Saccharomyces cerevisiae S288C: one gene and its partner. Changing the gene in region 2 together with the main gene of any one other region gives a genetic interaction. Each region holds a gene or a part of one and is shown on either strand. Other genes may lie near its edges.

Region 1 (7,206 bases), on a different chromosome or scaffold from region 2:
TACGAATATACCTCAGTTAGTTTGTTTTAACATTAAATATTCAACAGTTGCCAGTAGCAAAAAGAATATATCCATTCATTTCGAGCTTTTTCGTCTCATTACTGATATCCAACTAACAGTCTCCTCATAGACGGTACCTTACTTTCCTTTAATATTATAATACTAGTATAGTCGCACATACTTAACTCGTCTCTCTCTAACACATAATGAAAATTTCCGCAGCTTTAATATTGTCTTCCCTTTCTTCTGTCGCATTTTCTGCCCCTGCACCTGCTCCAGCGGACAGTCACCATGAAGATCATCACAAAGATGAAAAACCAGCGGTTGTCACTGTCACTCAATACATAGATTCCAATGCCGCTACTAGTACTGTAGAATCTGCTGCTACTACCACTACATTGTCCTCATCTGAGAAGGATACCTCTGAACAGAAGCGTGATGGCGGATTCCAAGATGGTACTGTCAAATGTTCGGACTTCCCTTCTGTAAACGGTATAGTTTCCTTGGACTGGCTAGGATTTGGTGGATGGGCCTCTGTCATGGACATGGATGCCAACACTTCGTCCGAATGTAAGGATGGCTACTACTGTTCTTATGCATGTGAACCTGGAATGTCAAAGACTCAATGGCCTTCTGACCAACCAAGCGATGGTAAATCTGTTGGTGGTCTTTACTGTAAAAATGGTTACTTGTACCGTACCAACACTGATACCAGCGATTTATGTTCTACGGATGAAACATCTGCTAAGGCCATTAACAAAAAGTCTGACTCCATTGCTCTATGTAGGACGGATTACCCAGGATCAGAAAACATGGTGATTCCCACAGTGGTTGATGGTGGAGATTCACAACCAATTTCAGTCGTTGATGAAGACACTTATTATCAATGGCAGGGTAAAAAGACTTCTGCTCAGTACTATATTAACAACGCCGGTGTATCTGCAGAAGATGGGTGCATTTGGGGTACTTCTGGTTCGGATGTCGGCAACTGGGCTCCACTAGTGTTAGGTGCTGGTTCCACTAATGGAGAAACATACTTGTCGTTGATTCCAAACCCCAACAGTAACCAAGCTGCCAACTTTAACGTTAAAATAGTTGCATCCGATGGCGCTAACGTTCAGGGCAGCTGTGCGTATGAAGATGGCTCTTTCACCGGAGATGGTTCCGATGGTTGCACAGTTTCTGTTTTATCTGGATCTGCTGAATTTGTTTTCTATTAAGTCATTCTTCTTTTCGGTAAAAGAATGTCTTGTATTTTGATACCCTCAATTCCCCTTATTATTCTTTTTCTTCCGCTCTCTATTTATTATTATACATTGGGATTCCGTTATATTTTTCTCCTTTCAGTTCATTTTACTTCTTAAAAAGTTTCGTTGATCGCTATTATGCTATGGATTCAAAGATTTTCTTTTCTCTCTCTTCAAGGTGTACTCTGCATTACGGTTTTCTTTAGTTCGTTTATTTTTTTTTTGTTAACAAGGTGTTTGTATACATATATATAAATATATGGAAATATTATAGTGTTTATTTTGTTACTTCCTGCGAGTTGCAACAGAACTAACAAGATGCCATGCTGTTTTTTTTCATTTTTTGGCTATAAAAATAACAGTATCCTAGTCCTTGTGTTCGGCTTTAAAATGGAATTGCAAACCCCATAATTCCTTCTTCACACCGAACAAACCGCCTAGTAGTCGATTTTCAGAGACTCTAATGCTTTGAATATAAGTGAACCCTTTTTTCTTCAAAATTTCCTTAAGCGTGCTATCGAATGAGTAGACATCAATCAAGAGTTTCATGGTCTCCCCGTATTTGCCGCTGCTTCTAATATTTTTGGAGTGTAGCATAGCCCAATCAATCAAATCTTCGATAATGCCACTTTTTACATATACACGACGACAACCCACAGTAGTAACACTCATGACTAAATTTTCATCAGTACTTAATGTCATGTTAGGGGCTAACGAAATCAATGCAATGGGCGTTTCTCTATAAACGATGATATGCGTATTGTTCACCACTGGATCCTTTGTTTCATGTCTTGCCACCAAATCATTCAAATTGATGCCGAAAACTTTCTCACCTTTAGAACCAACAAGTTGGTTGATCTTCGACTTGAAATACGAGTCAGATACACGTGAGAGGAGGGTGAACAAGAAAGATGCACCAATTGCGGTGAACACTAAACCGCTGAGGACGACCTTCTTATTAATACGAGCCAGCTGGTAGAACCATCCAGCAACGGATCCTGTATTCCTTATCGGAAAGACAATTCTTGGCGTCAAGTAAATAAGCAGCCCAATGGTTAGAACAACAAGGATGACGGGATGGAAGAACAAATACTTATTAGCCAATGCCTGTTCTTGTCTGATGAAATCCGCGGACAAATTCAATGCAGCTGTACCATATTCTGGTTTCAAATTAACACTGTAAATAGTAGGAGGAGCATCAATATCAAGTGGTTTGTCTAATGATGCATCTACTTGTGGGACCGATGGGGCATTTTTATCGGACTTTCTACCCTCTTTCTTCTTTCTTTGTTGAACCGCCATTGTGCCACTCTTCCTACTCTTGTACTTTCGCTATGAAAAAATGTGCAACTGGAAGAGTCGTAATCAATCTAGAAAACTTAGTAAAAGTATGTGCTATATATCTATAAACATGAAAAGCTTTATTTGTGTGAGAGAGAAAAAAAGATGTTCTTTGGTCGTTATTCATTATAGTTTCCATAAAGAGCACGTGCGGGCGCGCTGGGTAATGCGGGTGTGAATTTTCAGTTATAGGTCAACTACAACAGCAGGTCGAGAGGGCTTCTTCAGAAAGCGAGAGGTCGTACCAGGGATGATGTTGCGGGAGCTGCTGTTGCTGCTGCTGATAATGCACCAGTGCAGTTGGACTGGGAAGAGCAAGTGGAACAGCCACCATCTGGATTTCCATTATTGGGTACATATTTGAGAGTGGACGCTCGATGCGATGTGGTCTTCGACGCCTCCGCTTCCTCTTGATGGCTACGATCCTCAGACGAGGCCGTTTGCGTCTCTTAACGTGTGTGTGTTGTATAATGGGAGAACAGGGTTGTCTCTCCTCGGTCTTGCGCTTTTTCACTCGCAATACAGCATGCCCAAGAGTGCAGAGCCTATCAATGAGATAATTGATTAGAATAGAATTTATCAGTGGGTCGACAATAATGAACCACTTGACAACGGTCTTGGCCGCACGTAAAACCTGTGTGGTGCGAGAAGCAACGAATCTGTATACAGTTGATACAGAACGTCGGATCAACAAAATGGGGCGTGATGAAGAAAAAAAGTGGCGATCCCGTGGAGGACATTGGTGCATGGATGATTCAATCATACAATTTACGACATTTAACCAAAGTTGCACTCTGATGGGCTCAACGACTGCTACTCGTGCCAATAATGAAACTGAAAAGCATGAAGCCATCACTGTTTTTTTCGTGGTCTTTCTATATATAAACAAAGCCTCTGTAAAGTTTTTTTTTTTCGCATAACAAACGCGCTTATCTGAGACATAACAACAGCCAACGACCGATGCCTGCGTGGAATAAACAATAATACGCTGCAGAGGATAAAAAGAGAGGTATCATGTCTATTTATTCTCTGCTTTTCTAATCAAATGTGTATTGTATGCTGAACCATGCCGGTTGGTTGCTTCTTCCGGTAATTGCATTCAAGTCCTGCAACTTTAAATGTCCTCTTATAAAGCAGGACGTGGCTTCAGAAACAAAAAATGTGTCGCCAAGAGAAAACAAGAACAGCTATCCAAGTCGAGCTGGGAAAGTAATCAGATTTTTGTATATGTATAGGTACTTTCTTGATCCGTAAGCTGGAACTTCTTTCATGATCTCTGTTATAGGAAAGCCAGAATAGAAAGAATCCGCCCGTAAAAAGAAAAATAAAGCAAACTCGATACAATTTCATGCAAGAAGGCCATTTGCTAATTCCAAGAGCGAGGTAAACACACAAGAAAAAATGGTCAAACCAATTATAGCTCCCAGTATCCTTGCTTCTGACTTCGCCAACTTGGGTTGCGAATGTCATAAGGTCATCAACGCCGGCGCAGATTGGTTACATATCGATGTCATGGACGGCCATTTTGTTCCAAACATTACTCTGGGCCAACCAATTGTTACCTCCCTACGTCGTTCTGTGCCACGCCCTGGCGATGCTAGCAACACAGAAAAGAAGCCCACTGCGTTCTTCGATTGTCACATGATGGTTGAAAATCCTGAAAAATGGGTCGACGATTTTGCTAAATGTGGTGCTGACCAATTTACGTTCCACTACGAGGCCACACAAGACCCTTTGCATTTAGTTAAGTTGATTAAGTCTAAGGGCATCAAAGCTGCATGCGCCATCAAACCTGGTACTTCTGTTGACGTTTTATTTGAACTAGCTCCTCATTTGGATATGGCTCTTGTTATGACTGTGGAACCTGGGTTTGGAGGCCAAAAATTCATGGAAGACATGATGCCAAAAGTGGAAACTTTGAGAGCCAAGTTCCCCCATTTGAATATCCAAGTCGATGGTGGTTTGGGCAAGGAGACCATCCCGAAAGCCGCCAAAGCCGGTGCCAACGTTATTGTCGCTGGTACCAGTGTTTTCACTGCAGCTGACCCGCACGATGTTATCTCCTTCATGAAAGAAGAAGTCTCGAAGGAATTGCGTTCTAGAGATTTGCTAGATTAGTTGTACATATGCGGCATTTCTTATATTTATACTCTCTATACTATACGATATGGTATTTTTTTCTCGTTTTGATCTCCTAATATACATAAACCGAGCCATTCCTACTATACAAGATACGTAAGTGCCTAACTCATGGGAAAAATGGGCCGCCCAGGGTGGTGCCTTGTCCGTTTTCGATGATCAATCCCTGGGATGCAGTATCGTCAATGACACTCCATAAGGCTTCCTTAACCAAAGTCAAAGAACTCTTCTTTTCATTCTCTTTCACTTTCTTACCGCCATCTAGATCAATATCCATTTCGTCTTCTAGCTTAGCGCTTGCGTCAACCAATAATTTTCTCTGTGTAGCATATTTTAAGTTTCTCTCGATTTTCTTAGCTCTCTTTTTGGAAAGTGTCCTCGTGGTGATGGAGGCCGGAGAAGATGAAGCATTTTGTAATGTCACAGCAGTGGAATTCTGACTTTCGTTCTTCTTGTTTTGGAAGTATAGGTCCAACGCTACTGATTTTATTTCCCCAGATTTCGAATTTACGCTGGATCTAGCTGGCTTCAAGAGACCAGCTCTTTCTCTTTGAGCTCTTTTCTTATTTAAAGAGTGCACCTTGTGGTGCAAATTTGAAGTCAGCTTAGGTCTGTTGATGGAGTTTTTAGAAGGCATTATGGGTTGGCTGTGCTAGTCTCTTCGGCAAGCACCTCATCGACTAATGCCGCCATAAGTTATAACCATATATTAATATTGATACTCTCTATGAAAATTTTAGCGAAAAAAAATTTTGCGATGAGATCATTCCAAACGGATTGACGCGTGGAAGAAACCGGCGATTTTCTGGTTTCTGGTTCTTTGATGGAAGTTGGACGAGACGGTGAAGAATAGAACAAGGGACAGGTTAACTAGACTCAATCGATTAAAAACATACATACTACCAGGGCAAAATGTCTGAAAATAAGAACTCTGAGGCTGAAGACGTATTTGAATTTTTAGATTCTTTGCCAGAAGCAAAGAATGGCGGGAAAATGGTTAATACTGACGTAAAGGGTAGCCAAGAAGGCGTTAAGGGAGGTTCTAATTCTGTGGCGGGCAAGACCGGGAATGATGGAAAGAAAGGTGACGATGATATCTTTGAATTCTTAGAAGAGTTGGAGAAGAGTAACTTAAGCTTAACTGACAAGAAAGGGGTTGAAAAGAAGGCTCCCAGTGAATCAGTTAATAATAAAGCACAAGACGAAAAAGTAGAAGAATCAAAAGAAAACAAAAATTCCGAGCAGGACGCTCACGGAAAGGAAAAGGAACCACAGCAGCAGGAGAAAGAAGAAGAAGAGGAGGAAGAAGAAGAAGAAGAAGAGGAGGAGGAGGAGACCCCATTGCATGACCCAATTGCTTCTATTTCAAACTGGTGGTCCTCCTCTGGATCCGCAAAGGTATCGAGTATTTGGAATAAAACTGCAGAACAAGCATCCCAGATCAAAAACCGACTTGCCCAAGAACAGCTTGATTTGACTTCAAAGATAAACACGAGCACGATTACTGAAATAGCCAGAAACTTACAGAAAATCGTTGTTGGTGAGACTGAAGAGGTGCTGCGAATTCATCTAGTCCATGATTTGGTTAACTATCCCTCATTACAATACAATATTGAAAGCAAGTTTGATCAAGTTCTAAGCTCACAAGTTGAGGGAGGAATCAGAATATTTGTAGATGAATGGGGCCATCCTAACAATAATGGAATTACACCTGTGGAAAAAAAGCCTTCAGTTGCAGACGGTGAGTTAGGCAACTCTAAAAAAAAATTACAGTTTAATCTATTCGACGGCAAGGTAACAGACGGTGAGAAACTGGCATTTGCAAACCTGGAAAATGCAGTCAAACTCTTCAATACTGCACATGAGGAATACCAGAAACAACAGAAAGAGGCTGATGCCACTCCAGATGACGATAGGAGTTCTATTAGCAGTAACAGCAATAAAATCAGTGATTTATTCATATCCATCTTACCAATTGCCATTCCGCAAAAACAAAAAGATGCCGACGGTGACTTTCAAGTGACCGACTCCAATACGCCAGGCAATTTCAATTTCACCCTTGTATTGAAAGACATAACTAACGATATTACCACCATAACAAGATCACAAGGATTCCCTGTCAAATGGGTCAATTGGCTAGAAGGATCCGTGGAGAAAACAGGATCAACAGCAAGTGAGGAGAGGAATAAGTCATACGATCAAAAGAAACAAAAAGAAAGTGAAGACGAAGACGAAGACGATGAGATCATTGATCCTAGTGAATGGGTAAAGGAATGGATCGAAGATGGATTAAGCTTGTCATTTGGGGTCATGGCACAGAATTATGTCATTGACCGTATGGGTCTTTGATACACTTAATACATAACATTTATAGCGTAACGATGATGTATAAAGTTACAAGCGCAGAGGAGTGGGTTCAAATTCGGCCGACTTGTTACCCGCGTTCGTTGAATAATGGAAAATATGAAAAAAATAGAGG
Region 2 (8,961 bases):
GGTCATCTTCGAATTGTTTATAAAACTTTGGAATAGCGTTGAATCTTTTCAGCGCCAAACCTTTATATTTGCGAACAAGCCATTGGTTTTCTTTGATATCATTCGCAATTTGTTCGCTTTTATCACTTTCAACCTCTTTTTTTAGCGATGCTAAATCGTCTAATTTCTTTTTTCTATCCAGGTATAGTCTATAATAGGCTTCTGCCTGTTCTACGATGAACCAAGAAGCTTCCACAAGGTGTAAGTCCTTAATACCATTAACAGAATCATCGTTTTTGGTGAAAAGGGACGCGACTTCCACCGCCTTGTCGATATTGTTAGCCCTTAAAAAGTACTTAACCGTTTTACAGTTGATAAATCTATCCTGCAAATCAAGTTGCCTACCTTCCTCCAAAATTCCAGCCGCTGTGTCCATTAGGCCTAAGTGCTTCAGGATACGTGCCTTGAGGATGTAAAACTCAACTAAAGTTGGGGTGTGGTCAAGGGCAGCATCAATATATTCTTGGGCTTTCGGAAAATCCTTAAGGAAAAGGAAATGTTGAGACAAGTAATAATTGGTCCAAATAAAAGGAATTGGATCCTGCGTAGGATCTAATCCGGACAAATAATCAAGGACAATTTTCTCCAATAGTGGTGAAACCTTGGACTTCCTTCTTTGGTAAAGGGGTTTCACGTTGGAAAAAGTTGCTGGAACACCGCGCTCCAATTGAGGCAAAACATATTCTCTCAATTTTTTGCTGAGCTCTTCTTTGTCTTGAAGGAAAGTTAATGGAATAAATTTGGGTGGTTCGCATCTTGGATAAAATTGTTCAAGTTTTCCATACAAAGCCTTCTTCAATTTATTGTCACCTTGGATTCCCAAGGATACTTCCAGTAATTTGTAGTACTTAAAATTATCTGGATTTCTCTTGATCAGAGTTCTATAAACAATGGACGCGTCTTTCAATTGACCCAATTTCATGTAAATAGTTGCTTTTCTCTCTAATAAACCAAATTTATCAAAGACGCATGGCTCGATATCATTCAAATGTTTCAATACATTTTGTAACTTGTCTTGGTTATCACTGGCAGCTTTATACATAATGTCGTTTTTGTACATTAAACACTCGCTGTGTTCATATTTCTCGGAATCAGATATTTTTCCCTCAGCGAGTTTTTCAAACTGAGATAAAGTGTTAATAGCTTGTTGCCTCTCACCGTTCACATCTTGTGCCACAGCCAATGATGTCCAGTTGGCACGGTAACCAAGGAATGCTTCCCAATATTTTTTCCTGGACACTAAAGCATTTTTGAAATCGCCAATTTGTGATTGCAAAGTTGCTAAGTCTCTATATATTTGCTTGTTAGTGGACCCATTGTTCAAAGCTGCCGTGAACCATTTAATAGATTCTTTGTACTCTTTGGTGTTTCTCATGTAGATACCTAATACATGACAGCAGATTGGTGATGCTGAAGCGCCTTCAATTTTTCTGATGGCATTAGCCACGTAGGAAGCAGCGTCATCTTTCTCACCTACAGAATATAAATCAAGACCCTTTAAAGCCAAGGAATCAACGTGACTACCGTCTTTTTTCAAAATTGCGTCTAGCAGCTTGAGAGATTTTTTGTATTGCTTCCCTTCGTATAGTTTCAATGCCTCGAGGAACTGGTCATTTTCTTTTTTCAAAGCTATTTTAGCTGCTGGCTTGGGCTTAGTACTTCTTTTCCTAGACATACTTCGTTAGGGTCAATCGCCTTCCTCAATGGTATTTGTCTTAAACAAGGAATCTGAACATCACTTTTTAAAAAGGTTTGACTTTTGAGTGTAGAAACTTTTTCATTTTCGCTCTTTCCTCTTTACTCTGTATTATGTTCTGTTTCGACGCGGAGCAGGGTAAAAAGTGCATACGCAACCCAGCGACCTCATTAGCAAGGTCATGCAATTTGGTGGCACATTTCAGGCCTATCATGTCTCCAGTTGTACAATAATGAAAATTTAGCAGTATTCCCCCTTTAAAAGATTAAATAGCGATTATATAATCAACTCAAAGAGTTTCCTTAGCAGTCCTCTCTCAATTTTGAATTGTCGAATGTCATGGCGTTCTCGAAGCACTTTGCATACTTCAAGGAGTGGACAGAAAGAGTCTGATAATAATAATTTTTTATTGAATCCGAAGATATTCTATAATCAAATTTAACTATTATTCTATGTAAAATCTATAATTGGTTTATATGGTATACGAACGAGAATGGCGTAGGGACATGAAAGATGGTAGAATGACTAAATGAAAGCTAGAGGAAGAGCGGCAGCGAGCCACACCAATTTTCCTACTGCTTCAATGTTTGCGCTGCCTTCCATGATTAATGAAATGCTGGCAGATGATGTAATGGCTCCTGTTGATACAGCAGCAATGGAATGCTTTGATGTGATAAATGCGTTAGTAGTGGTGGTCGTGAAGGAATTTGTATAATGAATGGCACTGGATTGACTAGAATAATCTTTAGTTGAGGTACCAGAAACACTTTCTAGAGAGGCAGCTGCAGAAATATTGTCCTCAATACTGTGATTCATTACGGAAGCAGTTGATTGAACGTTACTTATAGTAGACGTTGATGCAGGAGAAGTCATAAATGCAGATTGTTTGGTGATGGTAGTGTCTTTGGGACCCGAGTAATTTGGGTTCCCAACCTCAGACTGAATGTTAATGTTTGAAGTTACTAGTGTTGTATGGCGAGTCGAGTCAGTAACTCTACTGACAATATCGGTGACGCTTGCGTGAGCTGATGCATAAGTTCTATCTAATGTGATTGGATGAGCTGAGGAAGATGAGCCGACTAAACCATTTTCACTGGCTAGAGTCGTTGGGTCTGCTGAAGTTATGCTAGGATATGAAGATTTAGTTGATTGGAATGCGTCAACTACAGAAACAGAACTTTGGGTCTTCGAATCATTGCTGCTAACTGGCATATTAGGCTTGATTATACTTGTTGCGCTTGACCTACTCGAGGAAGCCGAATCAACTGGGGTTAAAGTTACAATCGAAGAACTTGAAGTGGCCGAAATTCCTTGCTGTCTAGAAAGGCTTAGACTTTCCGACGCAATTGGAATGCCCGTGGAAGTTGATCCGGTCGAAGCTGTTGGATATACTGGGCTATTCGAGACAGCGAAAGTGCTTGGGTCTACTTGAGATCTTTGAATGGATGAGACGCTCAAATCAGCTGAACCAGTTGAGGAAACCATATCAGTTAGACTAGATGATACTGTTTGGGTATCTTGGCTGGTTGAAGTGGTTGAAACCCTTAGAATGATTGTGTCAGAGAAAGTAGCTAGATCTGTTGAAGTAGTTGGACCACTTGGTCTGGTTGAATAAACTGAGGTTGAACTGACAATAAAACTGGTTGGTTCAGATGAAGTTGAACTAACTACAGAACTAGCTGGATCAATTGAGGCGCTACTGATGATAGTAGTTGCACCGCTTGAACTAACGATGGAGCTAACTGGATCAATTGAAGTAGTTTGAGCCGCTAAAGTAGCTGAACCGTTTGAATTAGCAGAAATAGTCACAGTGCTTGAGCTAGTTGGGTAAGATGAAGTTAAACTGACAACAGAACTAGCCGGATCAACTGGAGCGGAACTGACTACAGAACTAGTTGGATCAACTGAAGTAGTTTGAACGGTCGAGGTAGTTGAGTCAGCTGAAGTAGTTGGGTCTGCTGAAGTTGAACTGATAACAGAAGTGGTTGGGTCAACTGAAGTAGCAACGTCACTTGAGCTAGTTTGATCAACTGAGGTTGAAATGACTACAGAAGTAGTTGGGTCAACTAAAGTAGTCACAGCGCTTGAACTAGTTGGATCTGCTGAAGTAGCCACGTCACTTGAGCTAGTTGGATCTGTTGATGTGGTTACCTCGTCAGAGCTTCTTGTACGATACATACCAGCAACACTTGATGAGGCATGTGGACCAACTGTTGTAGTAGACTCAATTAAAGATGTAGAGTCCGTGGAAGTGGAAATCACGACAGAGATATTTAGACTTGTTGAAGTAGTAATATCGTTTGAACTGACGAGAGAAGTAGTTGGTTCAATTGAAGTGGTTTGAACGGTTGAAGTAATCACATCGCTCGAGCTAGTTGGGTCAATTGAAGTGGAACTAACTGCAAAAGTAGTGGAATTGGCCAAAGTGGAATTGCCGATGTTGTTACTTGGACCAGCTGAAGTGGTTTGAACGGTCGAGGTAGTTGAGTCAGCTGAAGTAGTTGGGTCTGCTGAAGTTGAACTGATAACAGAAGTAGTTGGGTCAACTGAAGTAGCAACGTCACTTGAGCTAGTTAGATCTGTTGATGTGGTTACCTCGTCAGAGCTTCTTGTACGATACATAGCCGCTAAACTTGATGAGGCGTGTGGATCATCCGATGTAGTATACTCAATTGAAGATGTAGAGTCTGTGGAAGTAGAAATGGTAACAGAGCTACTTGGATCAGCTGGGCTAGTTTGAACGGCCGAAGTAGTTGAATCAGCTGGAGTAGTTGGGTTAATTGAAGTAGTCACAGCATTTGAACTAGTTGGGTCTGCTGAACTTGAACTGATAACAGAGCTACTTAGATCAGCTGAACTTGAACTGACTACGGAAGTAGTTGGATCAGCTGAAGTAGTTTGAACGGTCGAGGTAGTTGGGTCAGCTGAAGTAGTTGGGTCAACTGAAGTAGTTGGATCAACTGAAGTAGAACTGACTATAGAACTAGTTGGGTCAACTGAAGTAGTTGGATCAACAGAAGTAGTTTGAACGGTCGAGGTAGTTGGATCAGCTGAAGTATTTGGGTCAACTGAAGTAGTTGGGTCAACTGAAGTAGTCACAGCGCTTGAACTAGTTGGGTCTTCTGAACTTGAACTTACTACTTAAGTGGTTGGATCAACAGAAGTAGTTTGAATGGTTGAACTGGTTACATCGCTTGAACTACTAGAGTCACTTGAAGTGAAACTGCTGAAAGGACTAGTTGAAGCTGCTAATGTGGTGACATCAGTAGATGTTCTTGAACGATAAATATCGGCTACGCTTGATGAAGTATGTGAGTCAACGGAAGTAGTAAAATCAATGGATGTAGTGGAAGAGCTTTTCACAGTAGATGACGTAGTAGTGGAAGTTTTCGTAGAGGATGAAGTAGTAGAGGATGAAGTAGTAGAGGATGAAGTAGTAGAGGATGAAGTAGTAGAGGATGAAGTAGTAGAGGATGAAGTAGTAGAGGATGAAGTAGTAGAGGATGAAGTAGTAGAGGATGAAGTAGTAGAGGATGAAGTAGTAGAGGATGAAGTAGTAGAGGATGAAGTAGTAGTGGATGAAGTAGTAGTGGATGAAGTAGTAGTGGATGAAGTAGTAATGGATGAAGTAGTAATGGATGAAGACGAGGCTTTTGTACAAGTGCCATCATTGTTTCCCTTGCACTGGTAGGTCCAATAAAATCCAGGGAAATCCGTTTGTGAGTGGCCTTGATTGTCATAATTGTTACAACCTGTCGATAAATCGAAGGTGGTTGTCCCCCATTGCCAAGTTTGCCAGTACTGAGCAGCATCACCTTGTAGATATTCGAACTGGATTTGGAAATTTGGCATCCAAACTGTGCAACCGTCAGAAGAAGGGTAAGCATAAACCTGAAAAGTGGATGTAAAATCTGTTGGATCACTGATTAGGTATGTCTTCTCATTTTTGCCGTAAAGTTGTACGGTGCTTGAGGGACCGTTGACACCAATAATCTTTAAAGACCATAAATATTTCAAAGGGATATCTTTTACGGCTTTGACATGAATAGTAATCTGGTATGTGTTATCCTTGACCCATGATACGGAAGTAACATCCATATCATAATGTAGTATATTCTGTTGGCTCATGTGCCAGTTGAAATCCAAATTTGGACAACCATTGATAGCAACGCTTTCGTCTCTTTTGCTTAGATCAAATGAAGGGCTCACCTTGTCATCAATTCTATCAGCAGTCGCTGAATTTGTGAGCAAGGCCGCAAATAGGAGGCAAAATGATATTAGTAGTTTTCTTATGAATGATGTGGATACCTATTTTACACTTTTGCAACAAGGGGAGGAAAATTGCCAAGACCATCATGACATTGGAGGAAGTGATTTGCTTCTCTTAAATATAAAATAATTAAACGATCATGGAGATGCAGCGAACTAATGTGAAAAATTTTTCTTTCCAGTAGTATCGGTTATTCTGTAAGCATAGAATCGGGTATTAGTGGCTTGTTCCGAGCTTTTTTTCTTTGCCAATAAGAAAACAAGTAAAATGCAACGTGCAAATGCTGATCTGATCTCGCCTGGGCCAGTTTTATCGTCATGTGCGCGTGTAGGCACGAAAAAAAAGAAAAGACCGCTACCTCTCCTTCTAAAATGACAGGAGGAGAATATAAGGTTTGGCAGCCCCTTGAAAGAGCCGCAGGAACCAAAAAAAAAAGAAGGAAAGTTTATTTTTTTCTTTTTCCAAAAGACTTTTTAAGATGTTTGTCAGCAAGATAATACAGGACCTACACGACTATCAGTCACAGCCAGAGAAACGTTTGTCGTATGATGGCAAAATATTTTTCCCACAACTTTGAAATTATTTTCAAATATGGCAGAACAGTTTAACATTTGGTTTCAAGAGGTAGCACAAGTTCTTGAATAGTATTTGTTCGCGTTAAGATGGAAGCAGGCCAAATGCCCCAATAATCTAATAACCGTATTTTCTATGCTAAAGGAGGAACGAACACTCGGTCTTGTACAGGCAGCTCTAAAAGGAAAATTTCCATCCCCCCAGGCCAAGAAAATCAGAATCATATGGCCCCCTTCCATTCTAACGGAATAGTATATCAAAGAAATAATGTTTACGTAAGCCATAGACAAGCGATATAATCTTTTTTATCCTTAAACTAGGTGCTTCATTAAGAAAGAAGAAGAAAAGAAGAAAGTACGACAAAGACTCCCCGCTGGACAATAAACGGGGGCGGCAGGTGTTAATTCCGAATTGAAATTTAAATTTGACATAAGCAAAGTTTAAAGTTTTTTTTTTCCAGTTCTTTTTTCCCATCGTTTTTTTTTCTAGAAGCCGGGTTTTTCACCGTCAAAAAATTTCCTAAAAAAGATCTGTCAATCATTAAGTTTTGCTTTTTCGGCTTTTAAGCCATGCTTTCAGGCAAAAATTAAGATTTCTTCGTAAAGATCGGAGCCTTACGCCCAAGAAGCAACTGGCCGTAAAATTTTTTCTTCGATCGGGTGGCAAATGGAACAGAAGATCATGAGTAGAAGGAAAAGTAAACAAAGAATTGCGTCGGTCAACCGGTTGTTGCTGCGTGCTTCAGCGGGTGATAAATAAAAGATTTCCTATCTGAGTAATCGATGACACAAGCGGTCTGCGCTCGGTCGCTTCCAAGCCTTAACAAAGTTTTTACTTTATGGTTTTTAATAAATAAATAAAAAGAAACGTGGATTTGGATAGCAGAAAGCCTCGAAGATCATTTTATCAATGAAATTTTATGGTTAACACTTTCAAGACTCCGATTTTCTCTGCTACGTGAAATTTTAGGTTGCGAAAAGAATACTACCGGGAATACTAGGAGTGTGGAAGAAAAGAAATGGAAAAGAAAAGGAGAAGTGGTCATTCTTCACATCTCATTGTCTTCCTCCTGTAAAGATTTTAGCTTTTTTATAAATTAAGATTAAGATTGTAGCGTGATGTTCTGTTACTGTCATTTTTGATTGGCCAATGACTGATTATAACAGAAGACCAGTTTTCTATGTATTATTGTCCGACAAGTCAGGAACCTCTATCTTCTCAGAGCCCATTCTGGATACTCTGTTTTGTAGCACCACTTTTTCTTTTCGGTTCCTTCTTCAGTCTCAGTTGATTCGTATAGATAGGCATGTAACCACAGATCAAGATCATTGGGGCCAGGATCAGTATACAAATCAGATTCACAAATAGAACATTTTTCTTGCCTTAATACCTCACCGTACCCGCCATTACTATGGAACCAACTTTTAGCAGGTTTTCTTTTCCCTATTTCGTCTAGCTTAGTAATAACTATATCGAAGTCAGCCTGGCCGCCTTTTCCGAGATTGTTACCCCATACTTCATCATTGGAATAAATAGGATCGTTAGCAATTGGGTGGCCTAAGTACTGTAAATGTACTCTAATTTGATGTGATCGCCCGGTAAGCGGTTTGCACTTTACAATACTCGTTTTACCGTCGTAGCTGATTCTGTTAAAAACAGTTTTTGCATGTTTGGCTCCTTTCTCGTCCATTTGACAAACTGCATTAAGAGCAAGCCTTGGCTCGATCAGTTTTAGAGGTTTTTCAACAATTACTTCCGTTTCTGGAAATTCTCCAACTACCTTGGCCACGTATTCCTTAGTGACTTCTCGAGCTTTTAGTTGATCGCCGATATTATCGGCTCCCTTCGGAGTTTTTGCCAAAAACATTAATCCACTTGTAAGCCTATCTAACCTATTACATGGGTTCACAACAAATCCGAGATTATTTTGAAGCATTTTCGTAATTGTATTGAACCGATATCGGCCAGTTGGGTGAACAGGTATACCGCTCGGTTTATCAATAACCATTATGTTATCATCTTCAAAAATAACTTTGATAGGCCTGGAAGTGACTGGAGGTTCATGTCTATGTACCTGATGCGTAATCAGGTCACCATTGCGAATTACAGTAGATAAGTCCGCAGTTTCATCGTTTATATGAACGTCCCCGTTTTCGATTGTTCTTTTATAATATTCAGATTCACGATCTCGAAATTCAGATATAAAGACATCAACCAATTTTTTATCTCTCCAACGCTCTTTGCAAAAGGTCCTGTACGTAAAATGGTAGGGCTTGATTTTCCTTAGAGGGCCATCGATGACAATTTCATACTCTGGATCTAGTTGTCTATGTTTCTCTTTTTTGCTGCCTATCGTTCGTGATTGAAAAGTAGATTTATTAAT

Evidence for each region. Genes that interact genetically often act in the same process or in processes that back each other up.
Region 1: mutations in PRM7 (region 2) and RPE1 together harm fitness more than expected from each alone (negative genetic interaction), as found in Saccharomyces cerevisiae (2 studies listed by BioGRID).

Annotation. Positions count from the first base shown.
Region 1 is NC_001142.9:187,874-195,079, reverse strand, and holds RPE1 (ribulose-phosphate 3-epimerase RPE1), read left to right. Parts: upstream 1-3,989; coding exon 3,990-4,706; downstream 4,707-7,206. Other genes in the region: SUN family protein NCA3, read left to right, coding at 207-1,220; PHO86 (Pho86p), read right to left, coding at 1,614-2,549; YJL118W (uncharacterized protein), read right to left, coding at 2,782-3,441; ALB1 (Alb1p), read right to left, coding at 4,837-5,364; DUF5427 domain-containing protein MTC1, read left to right, coding at 5,640-7,076.
Region 2 is NC_001136.10:379,725-388,685, forward strand, and holds PRM7 (pheromone-regulated protein PRM7), read right to left. Parts: upstream 4,358-8,961; coding exon 2,261-4,357; downstream 1-2,260. Other genes in the region: peptide alpha-N-acetyltransferase complex A subunit NAT1, read right to left, coding at 1-1,714; BSC1 (Bsc1p), read right to left, coding at 4,877-5,863; pseudouridine synthase PUS9, read right to left, coding at 7,789-8,961.